3 linked regions of the Bombyx mori genome follow. The protein of the gene in region 3 purifies or fractionates together with the protein of the main gene of each other region. This does not show direct contact. Links are inferred from orthologs where the notes say so. Each region holds a gene or a part of one and is shown on either strand. Other genes may lie near its edges.

Region 1 (8,856 bases), on a different chromosome or scaffold from region 3:
ATTACTTTAATTATACATGTCAAACCTTCTGTCTTATTATACATTACTACGGTGTCAGTGTCAACAACGCTGTGCCTCGTGGACTATTTTTTTTTATTTTACAATTTTAATAAAAAATCACCTTTACAATGAAATATTTAAAAGAGATATTAATATATGGATGGAATCGTGAAAGATTATATTGAAAATGTATAATGGTTTCCATCAGAGTGGTTCAGTCGCAAACTCGCGGGTGTTTGCTCTAATATCTAATACATTACAATTTTGAGACCATCACCAATTCATAAAATAAATTTTTAAAATTAAAACAGTCAACGAAACAAAGTATTGAAAGGCACGTTCAAAAGCAAAAATTCCTAAACAATAGTCTTTGTGAAATATATTTTTAAACAAGTCATGAGTTTCTACTGTGAAGTTTCAAAATCGTCAATGTCAATATTCTGATTATTGACACATTTTTTATAAAAAAATTGTATTGTTAACTCATCATCCAATTAGTAGAATTTAGAGAATGCTTTGGATAAAACTTGTTTTGAGATTTTAAAAAAACAAAAGCAAATTATAAATAAAGATTCAAAATTGTCTAACAAAACAAAAAATTGGAGGTTTTTGGATTTAAACAGAACAAACACCTTTGTGTGAATTAAAGACGATACAAATACACAACTAACTGTTGGTCAAATATAAAATTGCTTACAACTTTGGAAAATTGAAGTATCCCTTTAATTTTGTCCATATCCAATTTAGCATGAGTATTACATTTTCATTACTTAAAATTCATTTCATCCCTATGCATCTGAATCTATTATACTTTACATTTTCATAAATAAATTAAAAAATATTATGTCTCAAGTCTTGTTTGAACAAAAACATGGTCCTAAGGTTTGTAGCCTCACTGTACAAGTGAACTCGCGTAATATTAGCTCATACCCTACAGTTAGTTATCAATTCCCAATTTAATAATCATTGCACAATTTGTAGGACATTACAGTATGAAAAGCAGTACCGACGAAATTCATCTCAAAACAGTCTCCAAAGATACAGTGAGAGCTAACATGTAATTTTTGCATTTGAACGTGAATGTTTGTTTGTATACAAGTGGGAGGGCTTATGAACTACAAACAGCTGGGAGTCGCGGCGGCACCGGGGGCGATGACCTCTCGGCGCGTGTCACTGACCTCTACGGCTGCACACAAACACACAGAATTGTTCATCTTCTTCATTTTTTTAAATTTTAAATTTATTATGTTTTATTATTTTATTATGAACACCAGTAATTTATTATGCACATATGTTGGGTAACAAGTCAGTTCACTGTGTGTCTGTCTTTATACAACCCGCACTTAGCAATCCTTTTAAAGAGAAAAGTACCCTCACTAATACACAACAAAATCTATTTTTAATATCATTATCTATCTTTTATTTATAACAGTACATTATTGTCTTGAACAGTTTGTCGTAGTTATACTACTTTTGATGCACTGAAACGGTCTGGAGAATTCGCACATAATAGATAGTGTGACGTTAGTAGATAAAATTACATTAGAAGTGAAATTAGTACTAGAGAACTCAACAAAATTGTTAGATCTAAATTTATTTTCTGTTTTTTTTTTAGTTTTTTATTTTAGTTTTAGCATAAAAGTTATGTTTTGAGATTCCTTTTGTGTATATATCGCCATTTCCCATTTTGGGTTCCTAGAGTAATTGGCATAGTGGATTATTTTTAAAATCTGTTATAGTGGGATCTTGTCTGTCATAGGCTGTGAAAATATGTCGTTTTTTTTTAAATTCAGTATGTTTTTATGAACACAGCTACAATATAAAAACAATCATTTCAACTTGATGACATCATTAGATGATAGAACCACTTATTATTTAAAATGAAGTTCTGATAATCATTAAAGTCAGTTGCTTAGTTCACATTTGCTGTCCAGTAGATTTAAAAAACTACTTAATTATTAGGTAAATGTTCAATTTCAATGTCTCTAAATTATAGAAAACATTTGTACTTACCGATTGATTTTGACAAACCAACAATGTCGGTAAACATATGGTGTGCATTAATTGTAATCAAATGTTAATTGTGCTTAATGTTCATCTTTATAATGTTTACATTTTATGAAAATCTGTATCCTTAGGGTATCCCTGCACGGCCATGCTGACCAGATTATGATTCCTACTTTCGCTAGTTATCTATAAGACTAAATTTATCCAAGTCCATTAAGTTTTTATTAATAGAATGGTAGTTTTATCCACTGATAAATAATCCATGTTTCTAACAATGTATGAACATTATAGAGAACCTACCAAATGTGAACAGCAATGTTTAATTAGATATAATCTCATAAGAGTACAGTACCTTGTGGGAGTCAGTAGTTATGTGACCGCGAACGGGAGCGTGAGCGCGAGCGCGAGTAGGAGCGTCGCACCGGGGAGTAGGTTGGGGTGCCACGACGCCGCGGGGAGTATGACCGAGACCTTGTGAAGAATATATCACCTTAGAACAGGGGTGGGCAAAAGCCGGCCCGCGGGCCGGATCCGGCCCTTTTGCTAATTTTATCCGGCCCGTTGAAAAATTCCGCACATAAATTTTTTTAAACTCTTTTATGAGATTTTGCTGACATCAGCATTAAAAAAGCATATGCGGTAAAAAAGCATATGCGGTATAGTCCTCCGGCCCGGGAGACATTTTGAAAATTTCATTTTGGCCCGCGCTTTAAAGTATTTGCCCACCCCTGCCTTAGAAGTAATTAACATCTTCTTAGCAAAGACAGTTTTAATAGTACTAAGTTATCCAACACAATTGTTAATGTCCAAAGGTGGGCTGAGATAACAAAATCGATATATATAAAAATGAATTGCTGTTTGTTAGTCTCGCTAAAACTCGAGAACGGTTGGACCGATTTGGCTAATTTTGGTCTTGAATTATTTGTGGAAGTCCAGACGTTTAAAAGGTAAAATAAAATTTTGTTTTTCCTTTGATGTGTCCCCCGTTGGACGGATTCCTTTTGTTTGTTTTAAGTTTATTTTATACAATAGTTAGGTCTTTTATTTATCGATTGAGGCACTACGAAGTCTGCCGGGTCAGCTAGTTTAATCAATATATTTGGCCAATTAAATGATATAGTAGTCAGTTAATGTAGTAATGGTATGTAGTGGTACCTGTCACCGCCGCCGCCACCACCGCCACCGCCGCCACCGCCATAGTCTTCCTTCACACGTATATATGTCACCTCACCCTGGAAATGAATATTTAATAGACGTCTAAATCTTGCACTACATGACACTGCTTGCTTTTTAAATTTCTTGAGTTGATTGTAAAACGCTTTTACAGTGTAATATAGCTTTCTTTTCATTCATTTTATAATCTTCATCATCTATGACCATAAGGTCTGTAATATCAAGATTAAGAAAGTATGGTTCAAATTTGATCCATGGTTCAAATTTCTTTTGTAATATCAATATGAAAGCAAACTCAGTTTACTTAAGCTGAGATGATGTTTTGTTGCCTCACATCTCATTTTACATTCCATTTGTTCTTTTCAATCTCATATCAGTTTTTCTCAAACTGAAATTACTTTACCATAATTGACAAGTGAATTGTTTTTTAAAAAAAATATTTAACTGTATGTTGAAAGGACAATCTCATTTTTTATAATTCAGTAAACAAATTGGTAACAAGTATGGGCAGAAAAAAACATTGAAAAAAAAAAAAAAAAAAACTGGTATTGCAAATAATCAGAAAAAGGAGACAGCTTAGTCCAACCTAGCTAAAGAATTCAAAAGTTTGTTTTGCTTACTTTATTTACTTGAGTTTTACAGAATGCAATTTTGGACATTATAGATATCTACTGAGTTTGACACAAAATAACAGTTGTTGATTTTGAGCAGCTATTTGTAAATGAACAGTTTAAGCACTATCCCATGGTTTAATTTCTCCTTCATGAGCCTTAAACTTCTAACTAATTCAAATTAAACTATAAAAGTATTTGACACAATTGATTATCTTGAAACTTTTATGTCCACGTTGGGTAACAATGATAAAAAATTTGGGACAATCCACCAACAGTACTGTTCTTTCACATTACAGGTTATGTTTATAATTATTTTCAAATAAAGTGGAAGAAACTAACCTCATGACTCCTAAATCTAGAATCATCTAACTTTTTAACAGCATACTTCATATCTTCATGCCTCAAAAATTCCACAACACCAGATCCATCTTTAAAGGTGTCTGCAAAGCATACGTCGCCGGCCTCTCGCATATGGTCTTTGAGGTCCTGCCAGGAACCCGAGGGCGGTAAGCCGGTAACGAGCACGCGGTATTCAGAGCGTCGAGCGGGCGGACCACGTGCTGCCCCTCGTCCACCCCAACGGTCACCACCGCCTCGAGAACCACGAGAGCCTCCACCTCCACCTCCACGAGGGAACTCGACTCGAAGACGGTACCCATCATAGTCGTAACCATCCCTGGCTCTTACTGCATCATCTGCATCTCTGAATTCCAAAATAGATTTTATTAAAATAACTTGTCTCAGATTAATTTAGGTAGATATGACTGTATATTCTACTAGGAGTGAAACAAGGCAGGCTCTGAGCTGTGCACCTGGTATTCTTGACGTTCATTAGTGACAGTAACAACTCACCATGAAGTGGACATATCTAATAAAAGAACCAATCACACACAGTTTTGACATCACTCATTGTGTAATTTTAATTTAATATGTTGTGTGTTTATATGTGTGTTATAATTTTATATAATTGGCAATAATCAGCAAATTTTATTGATTTTAATTTTTCTGAAATAATTAGAAATCATAGGTGAATATTATTAGATTTATGGATACAGGTGCTCTGGCAGACTATTAAATCTGTGCCACCCTTCATATATTTTAATATGTGCCAACTTTTAAACTAATTAGTTGTCAATTAATCATAAAATAATAAATGATTAATTGTTAATTTAAAGTCCCATTTTCATTTATCAGTAAAAATGTTTACTTAATCTGTATCTGTATCTGTGGTGTGGAAAATTATATTAACGCTGAATAAAATTGTTCATTTCGCTATAGTCGGGTACAGATAGCGGTGTATGCGGCATAACGTATGCGCTCTTTTAAATCTTCTTCAAAGGCAGCTGAACATTCCGTCCACCTGACACGGGATGATTATCGCTACTCAGACATGGACAACGTTAGTAATATAGATAGCCCGTTTCTCTTTTCGAATTCAACACTCACCTGGGATCCTCAAATTCCACGAACGCGAATGGCGGACCTTTTCTGTTCTTTAGGTCAACGAACGTTACTTTTCCGAACTTGTAAAACAAGTCTTGAATATCCTTTGTCCTTATGTCCGGTGGTAAGTTTCCAACATATATACGACACTCATTTCTGTTGCTACTGCTTCCACCCGACATTATAGCTAAAGAATATTACTATTGCTTAAACGTTTACTTATTATTATGTTGGCTTCATCGACTAATTTCACCAATCCGACGCTTTACTGTGTGTAATTGAAAGTCGGGCAATATGGCGTCAAATGTCAATGTTCCGATTTTGGATCACGGTGGATTTGACAGAAAAGAAAACGATAATCATGAAAACGGAAGTGGAAAAACCTGGTCATAGATTATAAATATGTGGCTGTATAATTTTTACAAAAGTCCGTGTGAAAGGATTTATACAAAGATGTGTATGTAGTCGTCCGGCACATTTTAAAACTAAACACCATAAAATTGAATAATTAATCTGAAATGTAGTTTGCTTTTGGTGATATCAGGATCAGGACACTTATCATTCTTTCCTGCTTGTCCGGAAGTTTCTGTGTCGAAATCAGTACCTATAGCGTGTTTTATAGGTCTTTCTAATTTCGAGCCCGCTGCCCTTCACTTTTGTTAAATGGAAATTAATATATAGGCTGATCAATATTGGCAGTTTCGAGTTATGTTAGTAACATTAAAGTATGGGTTTTCCCATATAAAATCAGGTAGGAACTTACTAGAGAACTTGTACTTGAACTTGTGCTTAAGGTGTCATCTTCTTGAATGGATTAAATAAAATAAAATAAAATAAATAATACAATAAGGCTATGCGTCATGATAATCGCCTTATTGGTGCCACCGTTGATTACTCCTCGAATTCTAATCATGCAGGAGCCAGTCACCGTTGATGCCCTAGACACGTCCTTACGGATCCATCAGATCCAATAACCTTTGCATTAGAAGCCTTCAGCTCTAACACTAGTAGCAGGCTCAGGGACCCCGGTAACCGTACTCATAGAACTCGACAAAGAGTTCGACGTGCAACCTAATCTATGTATCAGCCCGCTGAGTTTCTCGTCGGATCAGCTGTCAAAGCAGCTACTCTTGAGTTGATAAGTCTCCTTCGGAGGCGCTCGGGCAGCTGTTAAGTAATCCCACCCCTCCTGGCTGCGCTTTTGCTCACCTAACTGTCCTGGTGAAATTAGTGTAGGGGAAGCTTAACGACCGAGGGAAGATCTTCCATCGAGCTGGTGATATTGCTCGGTAGACCGACGGTCCGAATGCTGTTGTTCGGAACTTGTATATATGCGCTTTAACTTGAAAATGTCGTAAGCGAGATTCAGACATCTGTCAATTATCTTGCGTTGTATGATGGCTACCCGCCACATCACTCCCCTCCGAGACTGGAGGTCGTGTCATTTTTAGTTAGCGTTGTCCATGCTGAGATTAGCTTGCAAGGGCCAGTGCTGCTCGAAGCCTGCGGTGAGTCGAGGCTGAGCTTGAATTGCTGCGTGATTGTCGCTAGTGCTGCTCGTAGTCTGCGGTGAGTCGAGACTGAGCTTGAATGCTGCGTGATGAGGCAGTGTAGGTGCGTGCCGTAGGAGCAGGAAGCGCGGTGAGTCAGCTGCGATGGTCCTATCGAGGCTGCGATGCTGGCTTGCTGTGGGACTACTGTCGATGACTTGCTTTTATCTGCGAGAATTGTGGTAGCCGAAGTTCTTGATGCGCTGATGATGAAGTGTGAAGGCTGCAATGGTTTCGTCGCAGGTCACCAGTTTGTAGAGATATACGACAAAGGGGAGATCTTCCACCGAGCGGGTGATATTTGCTCGGTAGACCGACGGTCCTAATGTTGTTGTTTGGAACTTTTATATATGCGCTTTATTTTGAAAATGTCGTAAGCGAGATTCAGGCATCTGTCAATTATCTTGCGTTGTATGATGGCTACCCGCCACACTAGAAAGGCCTCAGGGCCACCAGTAATCCTTCAATCACAAAAAAGCTTAATGTTGAGGATACTTAGCATTAATAAGAATACTTAGCATTGATAAGAATACTTAATATGGAGTCATGTAGAGGAAGTCCAAGCACGCGTCCGAAATCTGCCGGCTTACCAATATACACAAGCAAATGCGAACAACTTATACTAGTTTATTTTATTCATTGGAAAGGCAATAGAAACGAAGCCTTAAAAGCTATTTATATACGATGAGACCAATGAAAAGCGTTTGTAAATTTCGACACTCTTTTTGGCAGGAACTATTTTGTTTTGTAATTTAGTGTTTCTTCAGGTTTAATCGTGTAATAGTGGTGGCTTATTAACCATTTAGCATCTGTCCAAGTGCATATGTAAGAGAAAATTAAAAAAAAAAGCTGCTGAACCTGGCTTTTACAAAGGTAATATAAGAAAGCTCACTGTGGTTTGAGTAAATAAGTACCATTTCACGGAGCTATTATTTCATCCCAGTTCATCTCATTTCGTTTAAAATCTATATCGAGTTCAGTCTCAAATAGATCAACTTCATTTCATTTCACTGCATAAACAATTCCTCATGATTCAGCGAAGCACTGCTCTTGCCATAGCAGATATTAGTAAACCGTTTTAGGTTGCTCCCTGGAACCACTGTCCTAACGTGCTGGCTCTAGATTTTACGATGGTATATATTACACTACTATTCGAACATTCGATTTTCTAAATTAGTAGTAGTATCCTTGACAAAAACCTCGTTTTGTTGAAGATCTTCTTGTAACTGTACTAAAGAATAAAATATTCAAGTTTAAACACGAGCATTGTAGGCAGTATTTTTCACTGTTTTAATTAGCCAGTAATTTAATTATTGTTTTTAGGGAAAATTATTATCATTCCTTGTAGATCAGGCCACTAATAAACCAAATACGCTGTTTGACCATAGAGTTTAGTTTTCGAAAATTTGAATTGAATTTAGAACGCCCTCTCGCGCATGTCGAGTGCAATTTTGTTGAAAGAAGCCTGTGAAAGAATCCTCTGGAAAGTAGGCATCGAATCTCCGGTTATCAAAATCTTAACGTGAGAATTTGTTCATTTATCGAAGCAAAAGTGAGTATTTTCAGTATTATTTAAGTAGGAATATTTAAGCATTGTCAATGTTTATTTAATATAATATCGGTTTTAAAGATTTTTTTAAAGAACGATGTTTCACGTACTACGAAAGGCGGGTTATAGAATATTTCAAGTTTCGCGATAATACAACAGATGCTTGTATTGATTCAACATTCCCGTTTCTATAGAAATTATACTAAGGTGAAAACTTACACGGCGCTGAGTCATTAGCGCTTGCTGTGTGGTAGCTATCTAATTTATTTGATGACGGGTATAAGCGCCAGTGCTTCCGTTCGAATTATCACTAGAAAACCTTCTGATACCGTTTCGGTGCTAAGGTAAATAAATGTAGATCTAAAGCGTTATCATGAATCTGCCTATGTAAAATTTGTTTTTAAATTGTCTATATATCAAAATGGTACATAGTTGAAAGGGCGCGCTTTCGTGTCCCGGATTTTGCATTTGACCTTTATGGAGTCTATAAATAGCTTACTGGAAAATAAACAATCGATTT
Region 2 (10,501 bases), on a different chromosome or scaffold from region 3:
AACTAAGATAAATTAAAATGTAACCAGTCACTAGGTGGAAAAAAAATCATTTAAAATGACCTGGGCGAATCGATATTGTACTCATCGCGATTATTCAAGCCGCGTCCCAATGAAAACGGACGTAAAATTTGTAACAATAGCTCGGAAATAGTTTATTAGTGCAATACATCAATATTGGCTTCCGTTTTATTAAAAATTATTATGGTAAGCTATATTGGAAAACGTATATTCAACAAAACTACAACTATAATTCGGAATCTACTTCAATTGTGCTCATTTATTTAAATATATAATATTAAGGTGATATAAATAAATACTTCTATCGGTATTGATTCAAAAGACATTTCTAGTCATCTTTTGTTATTTTCACGGTATTAAACAATCGTTTTATTGATTAAAATAATGTGAAACCAAATTAGCTTTTGCTTAAATTGTGTAATTTCTCAAAAATATAATTATAACAAATTTGACAATCTTTTAATTCATTTATCTTCCATAAATATATTAGTTAAGCAATAGCTCTAGAATTTCATTTTTATTATTTGTAGCGTGACTTCTGGTAAGATTGCTTAAATCACTTTTAGTTTGTTTGATGAGGAGATTGTGTGCTGATCATGCAAGAATCAATTTCGGTAAGTTTGATTGTATCCACCTCTTTGTAGTTTTCATAGACATACAATACATATTCGTACAGGCGCCTTATTCGCCTTCAAAAAAACTTCTTTATGAATGTTTCAACTTTAATTACGCCAAGCAATTAGTGGTCGTCGCCAATTTATATAATAGTCTCTAAAATGCATATAAAACTCGTGCAAGCAATTAACAAAATGTAATTAAATTTAACACCGCAGTCTCGTCAGAGGAGTTCTTCGCTTTAGATTGTGAGGTTACAAATAATGTACTAGCTAAATATGTTTTATTGTTTATTTTTAACACTTAAACTTTGTTTTTACAGTTTCAAATGCAGGATGGTTCAATTACACATGAACCTACGATAAAAACATTAAATAAGAACAATATCTTTGCATTATCATTTATTTTTCAGTAAACCCAGAAGTGTTTCTTAATTATAACTATCTTAATATAATGTTTTAAAGCAGATAATCTAATTCGTATCTAATGAAGTGATTATTTGGGTCATTTTGTATTCTGGGATATCCTGCAACAAGTGCGTCCTGTCCTCCGATGTAAAGCGTATTGTAAATTTTCCAATAAACGTCGCGTACTTTCCTCGCTGGATGGAACAGGCCCTGTGAATGGTCATGCACTTCATTAAAGTTTTTTTGTAAATTAGTACTTTAATTTCAATATCCACAAAATCCATATCCACAAAAGTTATAACATCATAACATCTAGACATACATAATAATAGAATTTAGGATTTATAACTAGAAGATACAGAGCGACCTAAACTTTAGTAGTATTTTACATTTCCTGTCGACACCAGAAAGTCATATATTTTTACACCTAGTTCTTAGCTAGGGTACTGATGGAGCTGCCTATATGTGTCGTGCCTGCGATTTTAAGCACAAGGGCAGCCATTATTCAAATTAAGTTGAGACTTACAAATGTTGCAATTAATTGGGTGGCGTTTTCGATAGTATAGTCTCTTAACGGTATTGGGAACCGTTTAACATAACATACTCCGTGACCACATTCGAAGTGTATATAGATGACAATATTTTATATCACATATACTTCAGAAACATGAAAATAGTAGTTAGAAGACGTATCTTTTAATTAACTCTTAAAAATGTTTTGATGAATATTACAAACCTGTAATGCATATTGAAGTATTTTAATGGGACCTAGGGCAACTCGCATGCCCTCAACAGCGTCCATGAAGGCTTGCACCAGATGCGGTGATGTCTCAAAAATATTTGGCCAAACATGATTTAATAGATGTACTAAGGCATCTTCACAGCCGAAACCATACACGCCGAGCGACATATGTTTTATGGCAGCGCAAGCCGTTTGTCTGTGTACTAAATCTCTGTGAAATTTAATAATCAATTTTATTGGGGTTTGAGGAAATATTGATTAAGCTTAGAAAATAAAAAGCTTCTTTATACTAATATCCAATGAATCTTAAATAACAACGTATCTATATTACTATTCAATACTGATCTAATTTATACAACGAAAAAGGAAAATGTTTTTGGGGCAGAAAACATGTAACATACCGATCCATAAGCGCGTCTTCCAATAATGGGCAAACTGCATAAATGTAATCCTTGCCCATTTCTCCAATGTACTCGAAAAGGAAAGATAGTGATTTGAGCACACCGTTTTGAACATTTAATTCCGGTACTCTGTATTCATTCATTAAAGCAGGTAGCACTGTGAAAGGTGAACAGGTCTCTGCAACTATAGCAATAGCGACCGTTGTGCACACTCTGAAAATTAATTACATCGTTAAATATCTCTCTTAGTGCATTAGTTACACGAACTCCATCCATACACAGAAAACATCGATCAGTTTACTAGAACCGATTCGTAAGTGTCTAAAGGAAGCGTGAGAATGGTACTTTGAAAAAGCGGCGCGATACGATAACCCACTTTTTCTGTCCATCGCTAATTCGACTCAGGCGACGGAAAGGGCAAAGTCGCCGTCACCGAAATATGTCTTATCAGATCCCTTTTGGGTGCTTCTATTCTAGGCTCCAAGCATCAGTCACCGCCCTCGTCCAACTCTTCGATTACGACACAGTTCGACGAGCGAAATAACACCCACTGAGTTTTTCGCCGGATTTTCTCAGTGGGTCGCGGTTCCAAGTCGGTGGTAGATTCTGTGAATAACCAATTTTAGCGAGATCTCTCAGGTTGAGCCCTGTGAGCTGACCTAGCAACCATGGCATCGCTGAAATAGCCCCTTAGGCTACCAGAGAATATGTAGGGAAATAAAATAAGTTTACTGTAAATTTAGATGGGCCAATGTGATCATAATATATCTGAAAAAATTATATCAACTTCCTGTGACCATATTATTATTAAGAATTTATTTTGGATATTTTGGTAAAACGGGTTCTTTTATTTTGATTACCCTATGTAAATGATAATAATAATAACAAACATGCAGGATCTAACGTATCCTACTCATTTTAATAAGCTAACTAATCTACTAATAATTATTAATTAAATAATGACCTGTTCTGTCTCTCTTGCACTTTCAGATTGTTAAGTAAGGTTGCGAGTACGTCATGAGGACCGATGGCTTTAGCAATATAACCAAAGGTATTTACAGTCGCTCGTCTAATTGCCTTCTTATGAGCCTTTAATAGTTCAAGCAATTCAAAACATATTCTCATCCATTCTCTGGCCGACACAAATTCCGGTCCTCTGTCTGCAATACGACCCACTAAATCAATACAATTCTCTTGTACTTTTTCATGCCTGGAATTAAAAAAAAACATATTAAAGATTTAATTTAAAGATTCTATGAAGTTATCAAGTCACTATTTATAGAACAAGGTTACCTGTTTTTCAAAATGGGTGTAAGCCTAGGCAGGAGATCCTTTATTGGTGGGGTCATCTTTGTCATTCCAATAACATTGACAATTGCTTTTAATGCACCAAGTATAGAGCCTAGCACTTCAGGATATTCCTCTCCCAAGTACTCATACAGTACAACACCAAGATGCCCCATTAACTTTTCCTATGAAATAGCAAGCAATTAAAATTTTCAAAATCAATTGGTAATGATGTTATAAATTAAGTATATTTGGATACATTTCCTAATGTATCCAAATATACTTCAAGACAAATTAAATTCGGTGTATGGACCCCCGTTAACTTTGCGACAGTTGAGCTTGTTTGCCCATTTTGTAAAATATATTACGAAAAAATTATACTACATACTAATTTAGTAAGGAAGCATAGCGTACAAGAGGATATGGCAAAGAAAATGTGATTACCTCCTGACAAGTTTTCATCACGACAGCGATCCGAGAAATGAGATCGGCAGCTTGTTGCCGAACTTTAGCAGACTTGTTGTTCATACGCCAAAGAATAATACCACATATCTGTGGTAAATAGGGCTTTACGCGTTTTCCCAATTGATTCACGATTGTTCCAAAACCGTTCAGCATCACAACATCCTATCGAAAAATCACAATTTGAATCATATAAAGTTAGAGATTACTTACAAAAGATTTGTGTCACGACTTAAGTGTTTAAAAATCAGACATTTAAACTTTTTTTAATGTTTTACCTCAGTTGTCTGTTCTTGGAATGCATACAATATTCCATCGATAAGAGCTTCTTCGAGCTTAGAATCAATGTCTGCTGCTCCTAAATTAGCGAGAATCTTTTCAATGGACTCCATCACCATTTTTCTATACTGCTCATTGTCGTCTTTTAGATCATCAACAATTCTGTTGATAATTTCTGATGCACCGACCTGCGATCAATAGTTTCACAATGTAAGCAATGCCTGATTGGGAAAATGATTACTTTTGAGTGAATTAATGGAAATACAATGATTCTGGTCGAAATAGTTAGTACCTTGTTTGCAATTTCCACTGTGGTGTCGACAAGCTGGCGATAGTTTCGTCTGTCGAGGGCCATACGATGGTTCCAGAAGTGTTTAAAGAAATGAGGCAATATTTCATCCATTATGTATTGAGGCTCAACACCGTCGGTACCGCAACATTGTTTTACTACCTAAAATATTAAGTACAATGTGTATTAAATTACATTACAGTGATTATTGGTTTTGGTGAGATAATTAGTATATGACTGATGCATTATCTAAGACTTACAGTCTAAGCTAATAGGCATGTTTCATGTTAGACATTTGACTTTATTATTTTATCCGCAACAGCAACAAAGTTGCTTCCTAATGATAACTAATGATAACATTCTCTCTTTTCTCTATTCTATTCTTCACAATCCTGATGCCCCTATCTATCTCCGTGAACGCTTTGAATATCTGATTCCTGACGGCAAAGTTAGTCGACAAGCCACTTCTCTTCTTTTAAAAACTCCCATACACAGCTCTAGTCGCTATAGTGGCTCTTTCACAATACAAGCAGTGCGATTATGGAATTCTCTCCCTCAACCTATTCGTGCTAGTTCCTCTCTAGAAGTTTTTAAGAGTCAAATGAAGAAACATTTCCTGTCACTTTAATCGTATTTAAGTTATTGTTTTATGTATTTTTATTTATATGTATTTTTCATTTAATATTAGATTATTTTTTTAATGCTTAGTTAAAAATCATGCTTTAATAGCTCTTATATTGTACACTATTCCCCTCTTATACATCGTATTTCTCTCTGATAATGGTTTGCTGGAAGAAAACTCATGAATGAGTTAAGCTCGCCTTTGTACATAGTATTTAGAATTCTTTAAATCTGTTTTTATTGTATTTTCTTTTTGTGTACAATAAGTATAAATAAAAATAAAATAACTCATTAGGAAGCAACTTTTTTGTAGAAACAACATCGTAATTCGTTGTAAAACAAGAGAGTAGAGATCACTATTTTCCAATGGATATACAGATGTGTGTGCATATTATGTGTATGCAACAACTGGCCATCTCTCTCGCATATCTATAAATCATATTACATTAATAGCAATAATGTTATGAAACATTAAATTGTTTTTTATTTTATTATTTGAAATCTTTTGAATTGATTTGATATTGATTTGAATAGATATTGGTTAAAATCTTTTGTTATTTGAAAATTAACCCCACCCCATACCACTGCAAAATGTTTCTAAATCAGAAACTTTAATTAAGAAATGTTTATATGTAAACTTTCTTAAAACATTTATAGGCGATAGAAACATGAAAAAATCAATAAGCACCAAAAATAGAATTACAAAAGAAAAAAAAGAGACATACTTTTAAGACGATTTTTTTCATTTCTTCATCGGGCGACTGGAACTCACGAATAAGAATTAGCATCACTTCTCGTGTGTAGTAATTCGCGTATTCTGCATCCATGAGAGGGATGAGGTATCCGATGGCTTTCAGGAATGCAGCCAGACCTTTACCACGATGCGTACGAATACCTTTCCACAGAGGTTTGAGCACGGAATCGAAGGACTCGATACCGTAGGGCGTGGCGGCCTCGGCCAGAGCCGCGCTCGCCAGCGCCGTGATCGTTCGGACCTTCTGTTGTTCGTCCACCAGACCTATTGCATAAAATGAATTATTTAAATACTGTAATTTAAGAATCTTTTTTTTCCCTACCTAAGCTGAAAGCCTTGAGAAGCTATATCAGCGTAACCTTAACTAGTAGGTAAGCTCACGGGGCTCAAACCTGACGACGTTGCTAACACGAACCCTAGCAAGAGCCGTGCTTCGCAGAATCTACCACCGGATCGGAAACGCGACCCACTGAGAAGATTCGGCGAGAAACTCAGTGGGCTGTGTCTGAGGGTTAATTTACTCGTCGAGCCCTTCGTCGCAAGCGACGGGTTCGACAAGAACGATGGCCGGTGCTTGAGGTACCTAAAAGCACCGTTAGTGGATCCGGAGGATCCGAAATGACGTGTTTAGAATCAACTAGACAACCGAGACATTAGTTATGTTTAATGTAAAACTGAGCGGCGGTACAGACGATTCTATTGTGTCCATTAATCGCTAACACTAGATCGCATCTGTTCATCAACGAAAATAAAATAGTATGTAGTTAAGAATAAAAGTTGAATGTCTTACTTAGAATACTAATGCAAAAAATAAGTATTATCTACCTATTATTACAAAATATCACCAAATATTGTGTCAACAAATACATGGCGTAACTATATCTTTGGGCTACATTATATTTATAAATCGAATAGAGGTAAATATTATTGTTAAATAATAATTTATAATAATATCAATTTTATTTTTATTTTATTGCCGTAGTAGGCAGACGAGCATACGGCCCACCTGATGTTGAGTAGTTACCGTCGCTCATAGACGTCAGCAATGCCAGGGGCAGAGCCAGGCCGCTGCCTGCCGCTTAATACTCTCCACAAGCCTCGTTTGAAGAAGGACATGTCATAGCGCTCGGGAAAAACCGGGACCTTATTACATTATTACAGTAAATGTACAAATACAAAAATATATGTTTATACTAATGATCGTCGTCAAGTCATTAATGCAAAGTGATATCCAATTATGTTAATTGATTGGTCTTTAATAATGTGTAAAGTTTCAAATTAATCAGATGTTTCTTAGTTATTAAAAATTACTTTATAGGATTACACAGGTAAAAATACGGGTTAAACTAATAGAGGCATATTAAGAATACACTGATTAGATTATATTCTATGGTTTACGGAAAAGATTGGTGTTTTTTTTTTAGTATAGTTACAACAGCTGCCCCGCCTTTCAAACCGAAACGCATTACTGGTTCACGGCAGAAATAGGCAGGGTGGTGGTACCTACCCGTCCGGACTCACAAGAGGTTCTATCACCAGGAACCACTAGGTGTTGTGGCATTCCGAAAGTTTCAGTAAATCCTTAAAATATAATTAAAATATTAATCTTACCATGTTCAATAATTTCAACAAGAGATTTCAAATGTGGCAGAATAGCACAGCCCATCAGAATAGCAATTTGTTGCACAATCTTTATTCCTGTGTGACGTGCTTGCCAGGATTTCTTAGATCTGCACACAGCTTTTAAAAATGGCAATAAAGATGGAATACCTGGAAAAAAAAAGATTTCTTTTATGGTGTTGAAGATGTGTTATGTTAACAACAGCCTATGTTAAAAATAGCTTATTCTTAGGATAGGAATATAATAATAGGGAATAGCAAGTATGCAAACTTGAACAAATTATTATAATTTCCCCATAGACTTAACCATACCACTAACTCAAATCATCATGTTCATAAGACTGTCAAAAAGATTGACAGCAAACTATAAAACAGATTAAATTACATGTGTTAGTACGGACCCTGTCAGTATTTTTTTGTTTTTAGAGGAAACACCATAGAGGCATAAGACGAGGCGAGGGACAAGAAGACGACAGTAAATATGCCCTTTAAAAAATAATTAAATATTCATATGACAAAACTTACCCAAGGCCGATGCCACTACCGCAAACGCTCGAGCGGTTGTGTTTCGTACATACTCATCTATGTTGTCTATATCAGGCCTCATTGTAGAAATCATAGTAGCCAAGCCGGCTGCTTTAGCTAAATTTGAAATGATCTCGCGACCTTCGACACGCGCATAATAATCTTCATCAATAAGCAGAGGTTCAATGACGACAAGAATCTGACAAAATTCAAATAATTTAGGATAAAGAAAAATAGGTTTGTTCTAATGTCCTTAATTACAATTAATATTTTGATGTTTTCTTTTTTTTATTATAATATTTACCTTATGTACGTAGGGTCGAACCAAGTCGTCTAATTTATACAAAATCCTGTCTATGACTTTGACCAGTAGATGTCTCTCTTGATCTTCCAGCGTAGGACTCATCAGTAATGGCAGAATTTGATTGAAAAGTGGTCCAGCACCGAATTCGCGAGCTTTATCTGTTATTTGTCGTAAGGCAGCTTTGCACATGGGTGGCGTACCGTTCTGCAACATGATAATAGCATTTTGTTTTTTAATTTTTCACTCAATATGTTTACATCAAAATCAAAATGATTATTTAACGTTTACGGTAAAAATCATCGAACCTTTATTTTCAAAAGAAGCTTCATTATTTTCCGTTCCTTAAGTTCGTCGGGAGAGAGTGTATCCTCGTCGACGTCGATGAGAAGTTTGTCGAAGTACTGGGCGTCCTCGGGCTTCATAAAGGGCAGCTGCTGGTTACCCTTGGGCTGAGGGTCGAGAAGACGCGCGGCCGCCGCGGCCGAGCCGCCCGGCTCCTCCGTCTGCATGAAAAACCCGATTGGAGTACCACCCAACGGCGTGGGCGTCGCCGTCAGCTTGCGGGCCGGCGTCCGAATCGGGACGTACCCTGGGCAACAATACTTGCTATTAGGTTTTATTTTAAATTTACAATCGTAGATAGGCAGACGAGCTCAGGGCCCAGCTAATGTTAAGCGGTGACCGGAGCTTATATGCACCACAGTGTGAATGCCGCCGCCCATCTTGAGACATGTGATCGATATCACAGTTGAGTTAGTTGAATTGTGATTATTCTACCCGACAATCGCTAACACACTTCTTTATGCCAGAATACGCTGCTGCTTGGAACTCCCCCAGCACATAAGACAACAATTGGGGGGTTAAAAACGAAAAGAAGACGATGTTGTCACTACAGGTATGGACAAATTCTCGAAGAATATTAGTAGTAAGTCGTAGTTGGTGTGTTTCATCTCAGTTCACCATGTCGCTAAACTTGAGATTTCATAACTAAATATGTATAATATGAGCATGTAAGATCCCCTAGTTTTGTGTTGGACTCCACCGTCGTGTTTATAATCAACACTCTATATTTCAATATAGGCATTGTACATCAACTTCAATTTTCTTTTTGCAACTGTTACACCCTATTTATATACTTTTTTTTTATTGATTTGCTTAGCTAATGGGATGTTGTGATTGCTGGACTGGTTAATATTTTTTCAATTAATTTAGTTTTCTGTCCGGCATGGTATAGTCCAATTGTTAATTAATTTATTAAATTTCAAATACGTATTTGTATTTGAAATTCATTATATATTTTTGCTATGAAAGTATACAGCCAAAGGTAGCGCAGCTGTAAAAATCAAATATATACAGAATATTGTCTCCAGATAAAATCAGCAGTGTAAATAAAAGATATTTTTTTTATAAATCCACAGGCACGACAATGTACAAAATGTGTGATCATCTGAAAGAAAAAAGTTATATTAAAATAGTACTCTTTAACACACGTTATTCTAACTTTCACAAACGTACGTCCCATCAGCAGGTTTCAAGTAATTAACATGTGTCCTGAAATGAAATTTTGATTAATGTCTGATTTTCCGTAATGATAAGAAAAAATAAGAAATAAAGTTTCTGAGTGAACTCATTTAGAAAGTACATACCGGCAGGCGGTGGTAAAACCTTGTACCCAGGAGGGAACATGGCATCCAGTTCTTCATCAGTGTAAGGTCTATTACGCTCGTCTATTTCTTTCTCCCAACGATAAGCTTGTAACTGTTCTGGAGTCATGGCTGCAACATGACCAGGTGTTGGTGTAGCCAGTGCCATGGCTTTCACTCCCACAGGTGTAGACTGGATAAAAATATGATAATATTATTGCAATTGTAATTGTACTGTTCATTCATAGGTACCACTTTTCAGGTAAAATTAATCGAAAGACATTCGAAGACACTTACCCCTCCTGGCGTGAAGACAGGCGTGTGCGGCGTCGGTGTAGAGAGCGATGGCGTGGCGTGCGAGGGTGTGGCATGGGAAGGCGTGGCGTGAGAAGGCGTGGGGGTGGCGGGTGCGGGCGTGGCACCGGGGGTTTCGTCCCAACGCGAGCGCCGCTTTGTGCCAGGGGTGGGGGTCTCCTGTATTGTATCCACGCCTGACCCGCGATCTGTTCGTGGTGTCTCAGCCCAACCGCTGTT
Region 3 (10,627 bases):
AATTTCTTATTAAACCATAAAATGTTTGTAAAACAATTTTTATGATTACCCTTTAATAGAATGTAGCACCAATCCAACTTCAATTGAATTTACAATATGATTAATTAATAAAAGTATGCAAATCTATAACAAATTAAGTAGTTTATCATTGGTGAGTTGAGTTGACTATCATATACAACTATGCCTTTTCCATGATGGCTATTTTTCAGCTAAATAAATTAACATCTTTGGCTTTACACATCACAAACATGACATGAGTTTTTTATAAAAGCATTAAAATTCTATTTTATGTCAACATTATTAATTCATAAGGCATTTTATCAGTATTCTGGACAACGAGTGTGAGGAATTTTTTTTGCACCAGGCGGAGGAGAAACCTCTGATATTGCAGTGTGCACTACAATGGCTGGTTGTGTTGGTGTGGGTGCGTGTAGCTCTCGACTTTCACCAGGAGATAAACTTGCAAGTGCCGCTAAAAGGTCATGATTCACAATGGGTTCACCTTCTTCTCGAGGCTCCCAGCCAACTGGAGGACTTGATGGAGGTGAAATCAAAAATTGCTTAACAGGCGCCGGGGGTCTGAGATTCTTAAATGAAATTGGTGTCACAGGTTGGGCAAAATAGCAATTTATGCATGAATCATAAAATTGGTATTGATGTAATTGAATTCGTGCATTTGCGGCAGCTAAGGGGTTGTCATAATTAACGCGTAATCTTTTGAAACTGCGGAGCCACTGAAACGTTACATTTTCCGAAAATGTACGGAATAAGTCTTCCATCTCTTTTTTCAATTTTTCATCAGAAAAAACGATGCTATTAATGTTTGTTACAATAACAGATTTAGGTAGGTCATCAAAGTTGTCGACTTCATCTTGAGTATCACTTTCTTGTTCAAAATTAACTATATTAGGATGAATATTAGGCATTCCATCTTCTGGATTTATGTAAACGTTTTCTTCGGGAAATAGATCGTAGTCTTCTTGGTGTGCCATGTTTCCCCGCTACTGTGTAACGTATATAACAGTATCTGAATATTTATATACAGTAATACCATTAACAATTCTACTGTTAGCGCTTAGGATATTTTATTTAATGAATTTTTCAATTTGACTGTATTTATGGTATTTGACAGCTATCGATTGAACATAGATAATACACATATTTTATAAAACTGAAGATTGAAATCGCTTTTTAGTTTAAAGTACCGTACTGAACGACCATTAGCTATTCAGTATTTTAGTCTAATGTTAGCTATTCAAATTCTTCAACCTTCAATAATAAGCCACAGTAAAAAGCGAGAGCTTACTAAAACTTACTATATTAGGAGAAGCCTTTTTTTATGATTGAGGGCTTACTGGTGGCCCGAAGGCCATTCCAGTTTCACAAGGACAGGTAGAAGCCATGTCAAGAGGCTATTCTCGGCTTCTTATATTTCTCTCTTTCTCGAATTTGTTCTCAAAGTCACAATATTCATCGGTGTCCAAAATAAAGCAAAATTAACATAGCTTCGCTCCTTGCATTCTCTGCCAAAATAATAGGACATTATGATCTTATTGACAACCTAAAGACACTGCTAATATAAAATGACGGTAGTCTACTAGTTTATGTGTATTATTATCTATAGGTAGTTTTGAACACTTTTATGACTTATTTATTAATGCGGTGTACAATAATCGAAACATGTTATCAGAGATATTGTACTTCAGTAACGGAAACATTAGCTATACAATTAATAAAATAGTGATAGAAATTACTAGCCGTTAGCCGCGGTTTCGTCCACGTGGCTGTGAAACAATGTCAGTGTAGTTTATGAGGACAATGACATCCTTTTTAGAATAAAAGGTAGCTTAGTATCTGTGAAAGTGCACAAGTATGAAAAATGAAACAAGTCCAAAAAGTCATAGTATATAACCACCATTTTACTGAATCTCTCTACAAAACTTGCATATGCCCCGCCATGACGTATGCAAGTGTAGTGTTCGCTCACGCGGCCCGCACCAACTTCAAATCCCTTCAGGTTATTCAATCCCGTTTTGCAGGATAGCCGTCGGAGCACCATGGTAAGGAACGTGGATCTCCATTATGACCTGGAGCTCGACTTAGTCAGTAAATATCTAGAGTCGGCATCATTGCGCCACTTTGAGAAGGCTGCATGACACGGGAACCCTCTTGTCGTGGCCGCTGGAAATTACATACCCGATCTTGTAGACTGAATGGTACCACAAGCATCGGTCATCGTCCTCGTCGAACCCGTCCCCTGCGACAAAGGGCTCGACGAGCGAATTAACCCACAGACACAGCCCACTGAGTTTCTCGTCGGATCTGCTCAGTAGGTCGCGCTTCCGATGCGGTAGTAGGTTCTGCGAAACACTGCTCTTGCTAGGGCCAGTGTTAGCAACACTCCGATTTGAGCCCCCTGAGCTCACCTACACGTTAGGGCGAAGCTGAAATAGGCTCTCACTCAAGGCTATCAGCATAAGTAGGAAAAAAAAAACTGAACCTTTTTTAGTAACATTTGGTTGTGTTCATAATCTTTCATCTCTCATCTCATGTCGTTTCAGTTAGTTTCACCTCAAATGATTACAATCTTTAATAAATCAACTTTATTTCTTTTGGCTCATATTATAATATATTCATTAACAGCAACCTATTCCTCGAAATGGTTTTTTGTATCAAAAAGAAAAAAATCATCGATACTCATTATAAAGTAATAGCTGATATGGAAATATTTTCTGAGTAGTTGGAAGTATTCGTGAACTTTACATAATATATTACGTACATATTTAATTAGAAAATGCAACCTCTCTGCAAGATTTGAATACTGACAATGAGATAGTCGATTAGTCACATCGTTCGATCCACGACGGGCGTCTTATCCTTTAAATCACGACGACTTCGAACATATGGCCTTAGTCTTCATGGTCATAAATTTCTAGTTATAACAACATGTCGTTTATTTTTATTAAATTTTTTGGTTTTTATGACCTGGTACTTCCAACCTTTAGGTCAAACATGTCATTTAAATAATGGTAATGAAATTTATATCTCAATATAACATTAATTGTTCTCTCGGTCATGTTTATAAAATTTGCTATCATAAGTTTGATATTTAATTTTGGATTGAACAAACTCGATGCTAGCAATAATGCATCCCAAGAAGTTCGCTTCTCGAGTCCGCTTCGAGTAGGTATAATGGCTTAGCTATAGATAATACAAATAATATAAGACCTTAAATTATGTGTATTATCTATGGCTAAGTCAACCAATTCATTTATAATGGACTTTTGGCGGGAACGCGAGGAGTGAAGTTGTGTGATTTGTTTTATTTTGTCTAGTTAGTGTTTCTTCAGATTTAAATGTGTAATAGCGGTGGTTTATTAACTGTTTAGTATCTGTGAAAGTGCACAAATTTGGGAAAATAAAACAAAGCCACTGAACGTAACTTCTCGGGATCTTCCAAAAAGTCCACTGAAAAAGTCTCAGTAAATGACCACCATTTTACTGAGATTATGCTTCATCCCATATCATCTCATCTCATGTCATTTCATTTCGTTTTCATTTCACTTTAGGTTTCATTATAATCAACTTCATTTTATTTCATAATATCATTTTCATTTAAAAAAGTTACGTATCATTAAAATTAAAATAATACTTGACCTAAAGGTCTTAGTTACCAGGTCATAAAAGCCCTTCAAAAAAAAAATCATTTATCATCAGAAATTGTTTAAAGGTACCGTAAAATGGGGCGATTAGGGACAAATTCCAACTTTATGATCAATTTTAAGGTAGTTGTTGATGTATATAATGCTATATCAGGATCAAAATGATTGAGTCTTGGGGGCATCTTTGTTGTCTAATTTAAAATTATGGAACTAGCATTCCAGTTTAAGCAAAAAATGCAAAAATAGGTGTAATCCCTATTTACCCGAAAATTGCGGTTAATTGGGACGAAATGAGAAATTTGCTAGGGTTGGCACTACTTTTATTTTTATATATAGTTTTAATTTATTTATTTATTTAGTTGCACCAACAAAGTGATCATCAATAAAAAAAATTGAAAAACTGACAAAAGTACATGGCAGACATCACCTCAATTATAGGTGCAATCGACAGTGCTGATATTTCTATCTGGGTTAAGAGATTAGGTGTGTCGGTTATTCCATGGATTAATCAGATGAATACCCCCACTCTGAACAAATATTAAATATTTTATTATGTATTACTTAGACATTTTTGTCCACCTTGAGATTTCATTGATCTTGTTACATGTCTCTCCAAAATTGACTTACTTATATTAAATTGCTTATCTATTTCAAATAAAGACTTATTCCCAATTTCGCTTCGAATAAACCAGATTTTTACCAACAAATTTAAAAAATATTGTTATAACTACATAGACAACCCTACAAACCTGTACCTATTTATACTTAGTTCGTTTCCATTTCACGTATTCTCATCCCAATTGACCCCTTTTTCGTTGTTATTTGTACCTAAGCCGTCCCCAATATCCCCAAAACAACAGATTTTTACATGTATTTTTATTTAATCAAATACATTAAAACCAATAACAACTGAGACTTACCTTTAATATATATGCTGGTTCAAACACTAAATAACGTTTATAAATCATAGTCGTTTTCTATTATTATCAAATAAATAAAAGAGAGCAAAGTTTCTAGCACTAAAATAATTACCACCACAGGAAGTTAATTTGAAACGCGATTTTTTATAAGTTAGCAGCTATTATCATGCATATTCAGAGTTGTTTTGTGAACTTTCAACATTCTACTATTAAACTACAAAAAATGGAAGATTTTGCAACGAATATAAAACTTATATTGAGCGTCGAAAGATTTTCCCAGTTTTTTCCCGATTCGCCTCTCAATCCCTAATCGCCCCATTTTACCGGTACATGTATTTAAAGACTCGCATAATTTAAATAATTACTTAAGTTGGAAAAATTAAGTAGGACCACAATTCTCCAAATATTATGAAAATGGCGGGATTAGAATCAATGGTAGTTGAAGAAATTAAACCGACAGAAAAACCGGTGGACAGAGAAAAGGTACTTTGTTAAACAATATAATTGATTATTTTTTACTATAAACAGCATTTACTTTAAATTAATGTTCGCCAACTGATTTTAATTTGACCATAATAATCAACAGAACATTCAAATCCGTTGTGTCTACTAAAGCACTCTGTTCTTTTTTGTTTCGTAATTGACATTTTTTCTTGTAAATGTGAGATATAAAGTAACAATCTATTTGTTTTCGATAACACTAAAGCTCGTTCATTAGGATTATAAATAAAACACAATAATTGAATTGACAGAGGAGGAAATTTGTTATGCTTTTTCCTGATTATATAGAGATATAAATTTAACCTAAAATGTTTCAGACCTGTCCTCTATTGCTCCGTGTGTTTTGTTCAACTGGCCGACATAATTCTCCTGGAGACTATGTTAGAGGAAACGTACCTCAGAATGAATTACAAATATATACATGGATGGATGCTACACTGCGAGAACTTACAGGACTTGTAAAAGAAGTTAATCCTGAGACGAGACGGAAAGGCACATACTTTGATTTTGCCATTGTGTATCCTGATATGCGTTCCCCTACATATCGTATGAGGGAAATAGGAGTTACATGTTCCGGACAGAGAGGAGGCGATGATAACAAGACACTTTCACAACTGAAATTTCAAATTGGGAACTATCTAGACATCTCAATAACACCCCCAAACAGAATGCCACCACCAATGAGGCGTCCACAACCATATATTAATAATCGTCAGTACTGATAATTAAGTTTAATAAAAGAATGTGTATCAACTGTGTTCTTTCACTTGATTTAAAGGGTGAAGTTGGATTTCATTAAATTACTATTATAAAGGGGAACACCCACTCTCCATAGTGTTCTGGGCCCAAGATGGACATCAAATATTACTATAAAAATGGACTGTTTCTTAAATATATTGGATATCTAAAAAATATATTGAAATTGACACCACTATTATAAAAATAAAATAAAATAAAAAAATCGTTTTGAGGTTTATTTTCTATATAAATAAGTGTTGGATTATGAGTTACTTCAAGAACTTTTCTTTTATTAATGTTTAATTTATTAATTATGATAAGGGAGATGTTCCTAATGTAATTTTATCCAATTGTAGTTATTAGGGTATAAAAAACACATGTTTTTCTAAATATCTATGTTTTCTTCATCTTCATACACAATTAATAAATCATCTAAAAATAGCGCAGGAGGGCATATCCACGGTTATGAGTCTCGTTCAGTTTAAAACCACAATTCACACTATGTCTTAGTCGTAGTATGAAACATTATTGATCGGTATCCATAATCGAATGTAGCTGTGATCTTTAACTCCTGAGCCAAAGTCGTCGTTGAAGGGAGGATAAAATCCATAAAACAAAGTCAGTAAAATAAATCGAGGAAAAATCAAAACGCATCCATTTTACGCACCATTTTTCCGTTGTGAGCACAAGCAGCAAGCGAAGTGTCAGTCAGTCAGGTTTTTATTTTAATTATTTTGAAGTCGTCGTGACCTAACGGATAAGACGTCCGGTGCATTCTTGTTGAGCGATGCACCGGTGTTCGAATCTCAGGCGCGTACCAATTTTTCTAATGAAATACATACTTAACAAATGTTCACGATTGACATCCATGGTGAAGGAATAACATGGTGTAATAAAAATCAAACCCGCAAAATTATAATTTGCGTAATTACTGGTGGTAGGACCTCTTGTGAGTCCGCGCGGGTAGGTACCACCACCCTGCCTATTTCTGCCGTGAATCAGTAATGCGTTTTGGTTTGAAGGCAGCCGTTGTAACTATACTTGAGACTTTAGAACTTATTTATTTATTTATTTTTATTTATTACACTTCATATAAAATTTACATTGGCGGACTTAATGCCTAAGGCATTCTCTACCAGTCAACCAAAGGTAGTGCAGAGTGAATAGTGGTAGGTGCAAACTTATATCTCAAGGTGGGTTTTTTTTCTGCTTAGATGGGTGGACGAGCTCACAGCCAACCTGGTGTTAAGTGGTTACTGGAGTCCACAGACATCTACAATGTAAATGCGCCACCTTGAAATATAAGTTATAAGGTCTCAAGTATTTAAGGTTACAAGTTGAAGTCTAATGGGTATGTCTTTGATGTTATTTTATGTGCTTATAATCGATTAAAATCCATTGATTAATGTTAATACTTAAAATGTTTTATTTATATTTTTTTTTATGCACTTAAAATGTTTACTTAATACGTAAAAGGTTTCAAACTGGCAATATTTTTCCCGCAAAAATCAAAAACTTGTTTTTTCAATAGAGTTACTTTTTTTAAATTATTTAATGTAAACTGCAGTGGCGCTCATTTGGAAGAAATTAAATGCATATTTATTTATGACAAAATTAATGCACTAAGTATTTTTTCTCTAATCTATTGTCCACCTTGGGCCTGAAATGGGCATTCCCCTTTGTGTTTGTAATTACAAAAACAAATTTATAATATCAGGTCCAAAAAAACCAAAGGTCTACTTCAAATACTGTTTTAACACTTATAATTTCCTTCCTGAGTTATGGATTTTTTTTTATCAATAGGCAATTATTCTCACAGCTGACCTGGTATATTAATAAAATTTAGAAGGTATATATATTAATTATTTTTTTGTTGTAGACATAAAACCTATTGCATGGCCAGTTATAAAAAAAAAGACAAAGAAAAAAAAGACTCGCCGACCGCACTGCGCGCATTGTGCACGGACCCGCCGTATTTTCATCTTATTATTTTTTTGGAATTTCACTATGTACTTTTCTCTTATGAACTGCTACGGGCGATCATCCTCGTCATTGTCCGAGTGTTACACCGGCTTAGCGAACACAAATAAATTAGAGGAGAGCTGTCAAGCCGTTAGGCCGAGCGCCGCCAATACGCGTCGGCCACCAGTCACGTTTCTTGGATTCTGCAGCCTGCAAGAAGCCAGCGACGGGCTGTTAGGTACGTCTACTTCTCATTACCTAGCCTCGGCCTGCCCTTCTTTTTGATCACCTGTTGGCGATACTCGCGCCCGCAAGAACCTTCATAAATATAGAACCAGAGCATCGCTGTGGTGAACATTTTTAAAAGATTTAGTTTTTTCCCCACTACAAAAGTTCAACTATCATATCGAGCGGTGAAAGGCTATCTGATATAAGCGAGATTTCGTTTAATACGCGACATTTATCATGGAACTTTAATTAAGTTGACCCCAATCAATTAGCTGAAGTTTTTTTTAAAAACAAATGGCATTTCACCCCTCCATCTGACGTCAGGTATGTATGATGAAAGCTTTTTCTCACATTTTAATTAGCATGTAGTACATGCAGCACAATTTTTTTAAATAAAAAACATGCATGTACTCAAGTTCAGAAACAATTTCCTTTATTTCTTTTTGCTGAATATAATAATCCATGAATAAAACAAATTATCACTTTAATAATTTTATTTTGATTGCACCTAATTTGTTGGTTTATAAACCTTAACAGATTCCTTGTTTATAAACAACAAATTGAGTTAATGTCGACACAATTTAATGACAATTAAAATGTACCTACTATAAAAATAGTCCCTAAAATAAATATACAATACCTAAATCTAATGATTGACGGGTGACCTGAATGGTCTCTTGGTTTTCTTACCCATGGCAGAGAGATCTATTGTGATACCATTGGGTAGGACAGCCTTATTTTCTTGGTAGTCTATAAAACCCTTCTGATCTTTTTCTTCCTTGTTCTTGTCGCATAGGATACCAGTTTCGTAATTGTATTCGCGTTTAAGACCATCAGGGTCGACATAACCGTATTTACCGCGGGTAATACAGTCTATTCCAATGGTTTCTTCCTTAAAAGAACCGTCGTCGTTTTCGAAGCCCCATGTAATGCTTCCATCCTCGTTTTCATCTCTGTATTTACGAATAATTTGAGCGACTGGTTTCTTTTCTCTTGTATTAGTTGGGCTGTACTTCTGTTGTGTGTTTCTGACGGGGGCGCGGATTGGCTCCTGAGGTCTTGTGTACTGTCTAACGGGCTGGATTTCTTCTTCCTCTTCTACAAAAGGCTTAGTTTCAGGCCTGAATATAGGTCGTTGAGGTCTATTGGAAAGTGGTTGAATTCTGGCAGGTTGAGGTTTGTTAATTGGTTCGTTTCTGATAGGGTTGAAAGGTGTGGGTGAAGACGGTCTGTATTGCGTGGGACGGATGGGATCTAGCTTGACCGGGCTAGGAGAAGATTGTGGGAACGGGTTAAAGATTATGGGTGGTTTTGGCTGAGAAGTGGTGGTGATGTCGTAGAAGTCATTTTGAGGTTCGGGTGTAGAGTAGCCGCTGGACGAAAAAGCTGTAGGAGTGTTAATTTCGTATTCATCTTCTGGTTCTTCAGTAACAGGTTTCGCAGGTTCATCAAGTGACTGAAGATTTGGACGAGGTGAGGCATCCACGGATTTAAAAGACGGTCTGGCAAATCCTGGTCTTCTTACTCTAGGAATTGAACCAGGCACCGGTGCTATCCTTCCTTGCCTGAAGCCGCCTTGCCTGACTGGTCCTCCGACTGGAATGGCTCCTGGTATTTGTAGTCTCGGAGGAATAGGAGAGTCATTTTGCGCATAAGCTGTTAAAGCAAACAGCATAGAAATCTGAAAATAGAAAAAAAGAGTTTTAATTATAGAAATTTTAGGTTTAAGTTATCGTGTAATGTGTGACACACTTAAGGCGTTCATTTTAATACTTTTACGCAATACGACTGGACATAAATTTTTTAGTAATAAAATACCAAACTTAGAACCAAAAACGGATGAAGTAAAAGAAATAACAAGAAATAGAAAACTTCCTCTTGGCACGTTGTAATAGCTAGGTATATGTATATATGAATAATCCAAGAAGGGTGGATTTGAGGTCAGTGATCAGACATAAAACTCATGCCTTATCATACTGCGCCTACCTCACATAATGGGGGATGAGGGCGAGAAAAAGAAAAGATATGCGTACCCGAAACATGAGAAACGAAAAATTGTCGACTATACCTAGAACTGCAATCACGTTAAGTAAAGATTTTGATTCTAACGGTCAATCGCATTCGGTCAAGATTTGTATAAACAAAAGTAACCCGATTATTGTCATAGTTATTGGTAGTAATCATATTTAGAGATAGAAGATTACCATAATTATTCAAAGAAACAGGGGTTATTAATACTTAAACATTATTAAAACTTAAGCTAAATAACGATTAAAATTCTGAAAAATCAAAATCTCTACAAGAATTAAGTCGTGTAAAGTGTATAAAGCAATGGCATACTTTCTATCGTGGACCTTGCACGATGCTTACACCTGACAGATTTATCCGGTGAGACGAATTCATGGCGCGCCTTTTCGTTCCATTGTTATATATTCAAATGTCTGAGATTGTATTACGACGAGTTCACGGAGAACTTGTGCGTAATTTGTGAGGACGACTTTTCTATTGAATAAAGACTTATGTAGGCTAAGGCTATGTTGATTGTGGACTGAGTGAAATTATAATTTATATGTACCTAAATACTGTTTACTGTATATTGTGAAGGACATGCGTCTG

Evidence for each region.
Region 1: the proteins of histone deacetylase complex subunit SAP18 (region 3) and serine/arginine-rich splicing factor 1A purify together in Homo sapiens (co-immunoprecipitation; 4 studies listed by BioGRID and IntAct, with this or other methods). This does not show direct contact. The link is inferred for Bombyx mori from reciprocal best matches to the Homo sapiens genes SAP18 and SRSF1.
Region 2: the proteins of histone deacetylase complex subunit SAP18 (region 3) and splicing factor 3B subunit 1 purify together in Homo sapiens (co-immunoprecipitation; 3 studies listed by BioGRID and IntAct, with this or other methods). This does not show direct contact. The link is inferred for Bombyx mori from reciprocal best matches to the Homo sapiens genes SAP18 and SF3B1.

Annotation. Positions count from the first base shown.
Region 1 is NC_085122.1:427,063-435,918, forward strand, and holds the start of serine/arginine-rich splicing factor 1A, read right to left. Parts: upstream 5,639-8,856; 5' UTR 5,420-5,638; coding exon 5,241-5,419; intron 4,498-5,240; coding exon 4,134-4,497; intron 3,240-4,133; coding exon 3,163-3,239; intron 2,479-3,162; coding exon 2,370-2,478; 3' UTR 2,360-2,369; intron 1,187-2,359; 3' UTR 1-1,186. UniProt on the Homo sapiens protein: Plays a role in preventing exon skipping, ensuring the accuracy of splicing and regulating alternative splicing.
Region 2 is NC_085116.1:8,405,839-8,416,339, reverse strand, and holds the end of splicing factor 3B subunit 1, read right to left. Parts: coding exon 10,265-10,501; intron 10,161-10,264; coding exon 9,971-10,160; intron 8,914-9,970; coding exon 8,630-8,913; intron 8,529-8,629; coding exon 8,325-8,528; intron 8,220-8,324; coding exon 8,021-8,219; intron 7,646-8,020; coding exon 7,487-7,645; intron 6,140-7,486; coding exon 5,847-6,139; intron 4,663-5,846; coding exon 4,504-4,662; intron 4,400-4,503; coding exon 4,211-4,399; intron 4,098-4,210; coding exon 3,915-4,097; intron 3,656-3,914; coding exon 3,477-3,655; intron 3,394-3,476; coding exon 3,148-3,393; intron 2,397-3,147; coding exon 2,184-2,396; intron 1,994-2,183; coding exon 1,777-1,993; intron 1,251-1,776; coding exon 1,092-1,250; 3' UTR 911-1,091; downstream 1-910. UniProt on the Homo sapiens protein: Component of the 17S U2 SnRNP complex of the spliceosome, a large ribonucleoprotein complex that removes introns from transcribed pre-mRNAs.
Region 3 is NC_085129.1:7,369,017-7,379,643, reverse strand, and holds histone deacetylase complex subunit SAP18, read left to right. Parts: upstream 1-4,742; 5' UTR 4,743-4,990; coding exon 4,991-5,065; intron 5,066-5,400; coding exon 5,401-5,805; 3' UTR 5,806-5,836; downstream 5,837-10,627. Other genes in the region: protein sarah, read right to left, coding at 321-992; uncharacterized protein LOC101740121, read right to left, coding at 8,658-9,692. UniProt on the Homo sapiens protein: Component of the SIN3-repressing complex. Enhances the ability of SIN3-HDAC1-mediated transcriptional repression. When tethered to the promoter, it can direct the formation of a repressive complex to core histone proteins.